2 linked regions of the Ovis aries genome follow. The protein of the gene in region 1 interacts with the protein of each later gene in a biochemical or structural test. Links are inferred from orthologs where the notes say so. Each region holds a gene or a part of one and is shown in the gene's direction. Other genes may lie near its edges.

Region 1 (4,344 bases):
CCGCTCCCCCCACCACCCCAACCCCCCACCCCCCGCCTTCGCCAGTTTATTCCTACTTCCCAAGTCCAGAGCCTATTTGCTCAGTTTGGGAAAGTCCCCGTTCTCCTTCCTCCTTCCTGCAGCCTAGGGGTATGGGGCTGGTGTCAGTCACTGCCAGTCATGTGCCTGTGGCCTCAGAAGGCTCTAGTCTCAGGGGTCCTGCCCACCTCTCTTGGACCTTATCTTCCTCACCATCTGCCTCTTTTTTTTTCTCCTCCCCAACGGAACCCCCTGCCCGCTCATATTCAGCCGTTTAATTGCAAAACCAGGCCGTTTGCGGGAGACCACAAGGCGGCGACCCCTTTCATTTACCGGCTGGGGGGCGGGGATGGGAGGGAGGTAAAGGACAGGCTGCAAAGAGAGGAACACAACCTGTCGTCACATCTTTTGAGCCGTCAGGGTCCTTCCCTCTGTCCCAGAAAATCCCTAAAAGCTTGAAAAGCATTTCCGCCGGACAGCAGCTGGCCGGGGTCGCTCCTCCTGGCCTTTCAAGAGATCCTGTGATTTCAAAGAGGCTGAATGACTTGCCCCAGCTCACACAGAAGCAGTCTGACAGGCTGCCAGGTCACTACGGGGACCGTACTGAGAACAGGCACTCTTCCCCCAGGCCTGCAGGGCTCCGGCGCTGGGAGGAAGTGAAGCCCCAGGGCTCGGTGCCCTCTGCCCCATCCCGGGGGAGGGAGGTGTGGGAGGGAGAAGGCGGGGTTGGGGAGGAAGGCGGGGGGGGGGGGGGGGGGGGGGGGCAGGGAGGCGGGTGGAGGACGGGAAGAGGAGTGGGAAGGAAGAGAAAGACAAGGTGGGAATGGTGGGGTTCCCCAAACTCAGAGTAGAAAGACGCTAGGAAAACCTTGCCCACTCAACCCTTGAGTGGAGTCTAGAATGGAGCCGGACCCTAGCTTCACGCAGCACCACAGCTCGCGCGTGTTCTTTAAACGCCTAGATCCCGAACGCCGCGCGCAAGGGAGGGCGGGGCTGGGCCGAGGTCTGGTCACATGACCTGGACTGAGGGGCTCGAGGCCCCCCCGACTTCACCGGTGGGCGTCCCCCACAACGCGTGGTCGACCTTCATTGGCCAGTGGTGCGGCCAATAGAAATCGGCCATCTGGGAACCCAGCGTTCCGAGGCACAGCCTAACATGCTGAGCCTAGAAGGGTCCAATGGAAAGGCAGGGCTATGGCCACAGACCAATGATAAAGTGAGGAAGGCGGACCAAGAGGCCGGACCAGGCTGGTTTGAGAGCAGGCGGGGTATAAAAGGGCACGGCCGGCGGCGGCGTCCGTCCCCACTGCAGAGCTGCTGCCGGACGAGTGACTTAAAGGGCCCGCGCGCCACCGCCCCCTCGGCCCGCCATGCTGCTACCCGTGCCGCTGCTGCTCGGCCTTCTCGGCCTGGCCGCCGCTGATCCCACCGTTTACTTCAAGGAGCAGTTTCTGGACGGAGGTAACGGCTAGTCCCGCTCGAGATCGTCCTAACGACGCGGCTGGCCCTCCGGCCCATATCTGCGTGTCGCTTGTAATTACTGCTCAGAGGGCCAACACGGTTTCCTTCAGGGACTGGAGCCGAAGGCGAGCCTTCCTTCGGCGTCCCTGGGGAGCGTGGAGGGAGCAGCGGCTTTCCGAAGCGGGAGTTAGGGTTTGCCCGAGGATCTTTTAAGTCACCAGAGATGTCAAACTAGAGGTTGGGGTGGGGACGGTCTGGGGGGAGGGGGGAATCTCCTTCCTTGCTCCCAGCAGTTTGTGGCTCCTGGTAGATGTTTGGTGGGGAGTTGATCAGCACCGCCGCGCTTACCTGCCTCTTTGATCCTCTAGACGGGTGGACCGAGCGCTGGATCGAATCCAAACACAAACCGGATTTTGGCAAATTCGTTCTCAGTTCCGGCAAGTTCTATGGTGACCAGGAGAAAGATAAAGGTAAGAACTTAGGAGTGGGTATTCAGATCCAGGAGGACAGAGTTTGGGTATCCCTAGAAGTAGGGGAGGTGAAGGAAGGAGGACTGGTGTGTATTTTACATCCTTAGGGTTCCCCGGGGGGTTGGTGCTGAGCCCTGATCTGATTATAGTCTCTCGGTAGGCCTGCAGACTAGCCAGGATGCCCGGTTCTACGCACTGTCGGCGAGATTTGAGCCTTTCAGCAACAAGGGTCAGACGCTGGTGGTGCAGTTCACGGTGAAACACGAGCAGAACATCGACTGTGGGGGCGGCTATGTGAAGCTGTTTCCAGCTGGTTTGGATCAGACAGACATGCACGGGGACTCCGAATACAACATCATGTTTGGTAAGGGGACTCCACCCTGGTGCTGATTTCTGGTCACTTAGAGGGAGTTTGAAACCCGGGGAGTTCTTTATCGCCCATGAACGGTGGTCTTGAGAGCATAGAAAACACTTACATGCTTTAGGCATTTCTTTCATAGGGAAGGTGAGGGAATAGTTAGGAACCACTTACTGCATTTTTATCATCGACTTCACACTAATTCGTGCAGTTTTACTATATAGGCATTTCCTTGTTCCTAGTTGTGCAAGTGAAGATTGTGAGTTCTGGAGTACTGATGTGTGGTTTGTTTTTTTTTAAGTGTCCTCCCCCAGTTCCTTAGAGAGAAGGTCTGAATTTTGTTTTTTCAGCTTGACAGTCCTGAGTTTAAGAACCAAGTTGTCTTTTTGTAATGGGGTGGGCAGGGGCTTGTAATGGTGGACAGACTGTAGTTCTGACCAAGATCTGCTTCTCACCAAGGCCCAGACATCTGTGGACCCGGCACCAAGAAGGTTCATGTCATCTTCAACTACAAGGGCAAGAATGTGCTGATCAACAAGGATATTCGCTGCAAGGTGTGCCTTGGGGGTGGTCACAAATGGCTGTGAGGGGAGGCTTTGAGCCCAGGCTGGTGGGCGGGGCCACTCATCTTTCATTCTCTTTAGGACGATGAATTCACCCACCTGTACACGCTGATTGTGCGGCCTGATAATACGTATGAGGTGAAGATTGATAACAGCCAGGTGGAGTCAGGCTCCTTGGAGGACGACTGGGATTTCTTGCCCCCCAAGAAGATAAAGGATCCTGATGCCGCTAAGCCTGAAGACTGGGATGATCGTGCCAAGATCGATGACCCCACAGACTCCAAGCCTGAGGTTGGTGCTTGGGCAGGGGCTCCCCACCATGGAGCGTGTGGAGGACAGCTGCTCCTATTCTGACCTCCTAATGTATCCTCAGGATTGGGACAAGCCTGAGCACATTCCTGACCCTGATGCTAAGAAACCTGAGGACTGGGATGAAGAGATGGACGGAGAGTGGGAACCACCTGTTATTCAGAACCCAGAGTACAAGGTGAGTCTGGCACTCTGAGGAGGGTGGTGCACAATGGGGAAGGCAGTGATCTTCGCTCACCCGTCAGTTTACTTCTGCAGGGGGAGTGGAAGCCCAGGCAGATCGACAACCCAGAGTACAAGGGCGTTTGGATCCATCCAGAGATTGACAACCCTGAGTATTCCCCTGATAGCAACATCTACGCCTATGAAAACTTTGCTGTTCTAGGCTTGGATCTTTGGCAGGTGAGACATGGAGGGAAGAGGCGGCTCCCTAGGGGACCTCAGGTGCTCAGGGTCAACCCAGGAGAAAAGGGGACAAGGGCGGGCAGACTCCAAAATGGTGCCCCCCCCCTTTCTTTTAAGAAATTCCTGGTTTGTCATTACGGGGTCTTAACAGCACCTGCTTTGGCTTGTACTTAATATGTTCCAGGTACTATTTTCAAGTATTTTTGTGGGAAGTAACTCAATTGCATCCAGCAGCCTAGAAAGGCAGGTAGATAACCCCATTAGAACTTAGCTTCACAAGGGCCGAATTTTTGTCCTGTTTGTCAATGTACTTTCTGCATCTAGTATGCTGCTTGGCACATAGACTGTACTAGGAAAGATAGTTTGAAGAAGAGAATGAGATCTCATTTTATAGATGAAGATACTGAGGTGCAAAGAGATGAAGTCACCAGCTCAAGATCATATATAGTAAATGGCAGAGCTGAGGTTTGAATCTAGGCAGCCTATTTTTCAACTGCAATGTTAGACTGTAGTATTGTGTAGTGGTTATGTGAGCATGGGCAGGAGACCTTTTCAAGGCCAAGGCCAACAGGTATCCCTTCTGACCACCCATTCTGGCCCTATACAGGTCAAATCTGGCACCATCTTTGACAACTTCCTTATCACCAATGATGAAGCGTATGCTGAGGAGTTTGGCAACGAGACATGGGGTGTTACAAAGGTGAGACCAAGGTCCAGCCTGGGTTTGGGGGTGGGCAGGGCTGGCAGGAGAGTCTAGGCC
Region 2 (4,565 bases), on another chromosome or scaffold:
CTGGCCCACTTTTTCTCACTTTCAAGCCATTGCACAGACTCTTCCCATTGGGAAGTTTGGACAAAACACTGACTGGAGCAAGGATAGTCTTTAGATCACCCACAACTTCCTTAAGACTCCCTCTGGAAACTTTTTCATGTGAAATCATTTTAGTCTCATAGACAACTTGAAATCATAATGAAAAGTCTCGGGTACTCTTCCTCCATCATTCACCAATGGTAGGATCTAACATATCAGAGTACAAGTACCAAAACCTGCGAGCTGACATCAAAACAATACAATATGGGTTTTACTTGCATTTAACCATTATTTACCTGAATTCCTTTTTTCTTGGTGTTTAGTTCTATGAAATGCTATTGCAGTGATAGGTTTGTCTAATCATCACAGTTAAGACACAGAACTATTCCCTCACCCACAGTGAAACTTTCTTGTTCGGCATCTTTATCTTCTCCCTGAAGCCCTATTCCCTGCCAACTGCTGATATGGTCTCCCTTATTTAATTTCGCCATTTTAAGAATATTATATGAAAAAAATAATACAGTCTGTAAGCTTCCAGGTTTATATTGGTTTTACTTAACATAATGTCCTTGAAATTCATCCAAGTTATTGTATTAATTGCTGCTTATTTTCCTGTGAATTTTCCATGGTTTATTTATCCATTTGCTTATTGAAGGATAACTGGGTAATTTCCAGGGCCTTTTTTTTATTTGCTATAAAAAATGAAGTTTCCAAAATGTGTTATGTACACATATTTAATTTTTAAACTTAGGAAGGAAATTCTGATACATGTCATAACATGGATGAACCTTGAAGGCATGAACCTAAGTGAAATAAGTCAGTCACAAAAAGACAAATCCTGTATGATTCCATTTATATAAGACACCAAGAGCAGTTAAGCTCATAGAGACAAAAATAAAACAGCAGTCACTAAGGGCTGGGGCTGACCTTGGGGTTGGAAATAGGGAATTACTGTTTAATAGGTACAGAGTTTCAATTTGGGATAATGAAAACATTCTCGAGATAGGTAGTGGTGAAGGCTGTACAACCATGTGATTGTACTTAATGCTGCCAAATTGTACACCTAATAATGGTCAAAACGGTAAAATTTTATGTTGTTTATACTTACCAGAATAAAAGCTAGAAAAGTAAACTAAATGGATAGAATATAACATCATGGAATATAAGAAATATTAAAGGAAATAAAGTTAAGATGATAGAGAGCAGGATCACTTAAAGTAGTCAACACAGGGTTCTCTGAGGCAGGAACATTTCAATAGAAGAGAAGGAGCCAGCCAGTGACATGACAGAGAGGACATTCAGGCTGGGTGAAGACCAAGTCCAGAGCCTGAGACAGGCGTGGTCTTGGTGTGTCAAAAGCAGCAGGGTGTTTGTGCACCTTCATGGGTGTGTCTGTGCACATCTGCACGTGTGTGCGTGTGGTTAGTAGGCGCAAGCATGAGTGCGTTCATAGGTATCTTTATGTTTCTCTGCTGAAGACATGAATCTTGAACACAGTTAACCATGTGAACCAACTCATGTTGGCCCAGAAATGAGAACTGTCAAATACTGACAATCTGAAGTGGGGATCGTGCAGTATTGAAGAAAACTGCCACCCAGCACTGTATCAGAAGCCCTGGGAAATCCCCTTAAGAATTATTTATTAATCTGGGGTTGAAGGCCAGGCAGGCCCATGTGGTCCCTGTCCACCAGGCTGAGTGGACCTTGTATTACCAAGCCCAGCCTCCTCTCTTACCCTAAGGCATCTGCCAGCACCCTGCTGGAGGGCCAGTTTCCTTGTGACTGTATCCCTGATCTGCAGAAGCCCTGGTGAGTACTTTGGTAAATGGATCTGGGGTCCTGGGTCATATAGTTAGGGCTTGGACTTGATCTTGGAGGGAGGTGAGGAGAGGGCAAGTAGAATCCATGCTGGAGTGTCTATTTTTCTGTTTATGCTGGGGCATCTGGAACTTTCCTGGATTCACCTAAACATTTGCAAATGAGACTGTACCTTTGTTTTCAAAGAGAGCCAAGACCTTGGGTCCTGGGATGCTGAGGTTTCCTTGGGGAGGGACATCTAGAAAAGAACTTTGAAGATCAGATGAAATGTTAGGATTAAAAAATGAGACGGGTATTCAAGGAACATTGCCAGTGATCTCGACATATAAGACACACAGAACACCTGTCAGGAAATAGAGAGGGATCTAGCATCCTGCCTGGGCTAAGAGAGTGAATAATTTCCAGAGAAAATTCTCCCCCTGGCAAGTCTTTCTTCCAGTGAGAAAGAAACATCAAGAGAAAGCAAACTCAAGTTAATTGTGGCTGGGTTAGTAACTAGCAGTGACTCTTCCTCTCTGGATCATTAGCTTGCAGCTCAGTGCCTGCCACTGAGTAGATGTTGGTTATCTTGACACTGAGGGCAAAGGACTATCCAGATATAAGGATGGGATGCAGGTGGCAGTAGGGCCCAAGTGGGAGAAGTGCAAGAGCAAGCTAGGTCTCCATTTATGATTACTCCCTAAGCCAGCAGGCATGAGTCTCTGGCCATGAGTATGCCTATTTGCTCTTGCAAAGGACACAGAGAACATAATCAGAGATTTCTGCAGTAACACCAGAGGACAGACACCGGTGGCTCCTTCCTCTCAACAATGCAGTTATTTATGCCTACCTTTGTTGAAGTATTAATTAACCAGTGTCATTGAAGGATTTATTAATACATTTCCAAATTCCCAGTTTGGAGGCCAGGAATGGATTATCCATCTCTACATCACATGTGCCCAGTATAGGTTATAAGCTCACTAAATATGTGTAGATAAAGAGAACAAGATGAGATCACCTTCCTTGACTTTTCTTACACCAAGGTGAGGACCATGTCGCTGTTTCCGTCATTTCCTTTTCTTCTCCTGACTGTGATGACAGCATCTTGTGCAGACACAGAAGCAGAGAACTGTGAGACTATCCGGAAGACCTGCCCTGTGATTGCCTGTGGTCCTGCAGGCATCAACGGCCTCCCAGGCAAAGATGGGCGTGATGGTGCCAAGGGAGAAAAGGGAGAACCAGGTACAGTTTGGGCTGTTCTTTCTCTGCGACTCTTCATCTCCCAAAGGAAACCGCCTGGATTGGGAGGAGGGTAATGCATTTATGCCACTTGTATTACTCTTAACTACATATTATCATTTGAAACAGAGACACGGCTCTGATTCTGGCATCCCAGACTCTCACACAGGAACTGCTAACACTTGGTGGTCCTGCAGGCTCAGGGAGTTGACCCTCAAGGCAGACCATCCCATGGGACTTAGGAGGCTTTTCTTCTATGGTCCTTACAAACAGCAGCTCAGAAAAGTTAGCCCTAGCTCAGTGTCTCCTTTCCCCTGGGAAGGGATTGGGCATCATATTTTTTGAGAAATAGAAAAGGAACACAAATAATGAGTCATGTTTCCTTTTTCCTCCAACAGGTCAAGGACTCAGAGGCTCGCAGGGCCCTCCTGGAAAGATGGGGCCTCAGGGAACACCAGGGATCCCTGGGATACCAGGACCAACAGGCCAAAAAGGAGACCCTGGAGAAAATATGGGTAAGGAGTTTACTTTAGCAAGGTCCAGGCTGAAGTCCCCTGGGGTCTGTGGGCTCAAGTATCATGTGGGACATGCCCCTTCTGCTGCTTCCTGGGGAGATGCCCAACTCTGCTTCCTGACTAAGCCGCCTCCAGCTTCTGTAGGTTACTTAGAGCCTCAGGCATTCCTACCAATTCCTGAATACAGAGTCACAAACTGTTCGGAGCCAAACCCTTGTGAGATGCCTGCTGGAGGATCTGAGCCTCCAGCAAGAGCGGTAGATACATAGTATGTCAATTATCTCTTACTTCATGAGAAACAACACACAGCCATTTATTTAAATCAAAATTCTATGAATCAAATAATTTCTTTGCTGGTCTCAGCTGGACTCACTCATGTGTCAACTGGTGGCCCATGGTCTCACTTACACGCTGGCTATTGTGCACCCATGAGCTGGAGTGATGAAGGCGACTGAGCCACGGGTCTCTCCTCCTCCAGTTGACTCACCTGGCCTTAATCACACAGAGGTGATTACAGGATTCACAAGAAAAGGAAGAGCGGAAGGTTTAAGGCCCCTTAAGGCTTGGGATACATACACTATTGCTTCCACCACGTTGTATTGATCAACACAAGTCACAAGGCCAGCTCAGATTCAAGGAGTGGGGAATAGACTCCATTTCCTAAGAGAAGCTGTATCATATCGAGGTCATTTTTGCCATCAGCTACACATAGCTTGTCTCATGCCCTCCCCCATGGATAATGGACAACTCACAGAAATCCTAGTTTACTGATTAACAGGACAAACTCAGGGAAAAACAAACAACAAAATGAACAAAACCAAGACATGCCCAAACATGAAACTCTGTAGACTTTATAGTCAATATTCACCAGCTCATAATCATTCTTCAATTAGTTTATTCCACAATTTTGTCCATGATAGAGCTATTTGTTTGGAGAAATAAAACAATTAGTGAGTAGCTTGGCATGTGGAGAGCTATAATGCTATTAACAGATCA

The links.
Region 2: the proteins of CALR (region 1) and MBL2 form a complex in vitro, tested with the Homo sapiens proteins (2 studies listed by BioGRID and IntAct). The link is inferred for Ovis aries from reciprocal best matches to the Homo sapiens genes CALR and MBL2.

Annotation. Positions count from the first base shown.
Region 1 is NC_056058.1:10,923,364-10,927,707, reverse strand, and holds the start of CALR (calreticulin), read left to right. Parts: upstream 1-1,317; 5' UTR 1,318-1,388; coding exon 1,389-1,479; intron 1,480-1,847; coding exon 1,848-1,949; intron 1,950-2,109; coding exon 2,110-2,313; intron 2,314-2,766; coding exon 2,767-2,861; intron 2,862-2,951; coding exon 2,952-3,161; intron 3,162-3,243; coding exon 3,244-3,357; intron 3,358-3,437; coding exon 3,438-3,581; intron 3,582-4,191; coding exon 4,192-4,284; intron 4,285-4,344. UniProt on the Homo sapiens protein: Calcium-binding chaperone that promotes folding, oligomeric assembly and quality control in the endoplasmic reticulum (ER) via the calreticulin/calnexin cycle.
Region 2 is NC_056075.1:6,145,126-6,149,690, forward strand, and holds the start of MBL2 (mannose-binding protein C), read left to right. Parts: upstream 1-1,751; 5' UTR 1,752-1,827; intron 1,828-2,858; 5' UTR 2,859-2,867; coding exon 2,868-3,057; intron 3,058-3,452; coding exon 3,453-3,569; intron 3,570-4,565. UniProt on the Homo sapiens protein: Calcium-dependent lectin involved in innate immune defense. Binds mannose, fucose and N-acetylglucosamine on different microorganisms and activates the lectin complement pathway.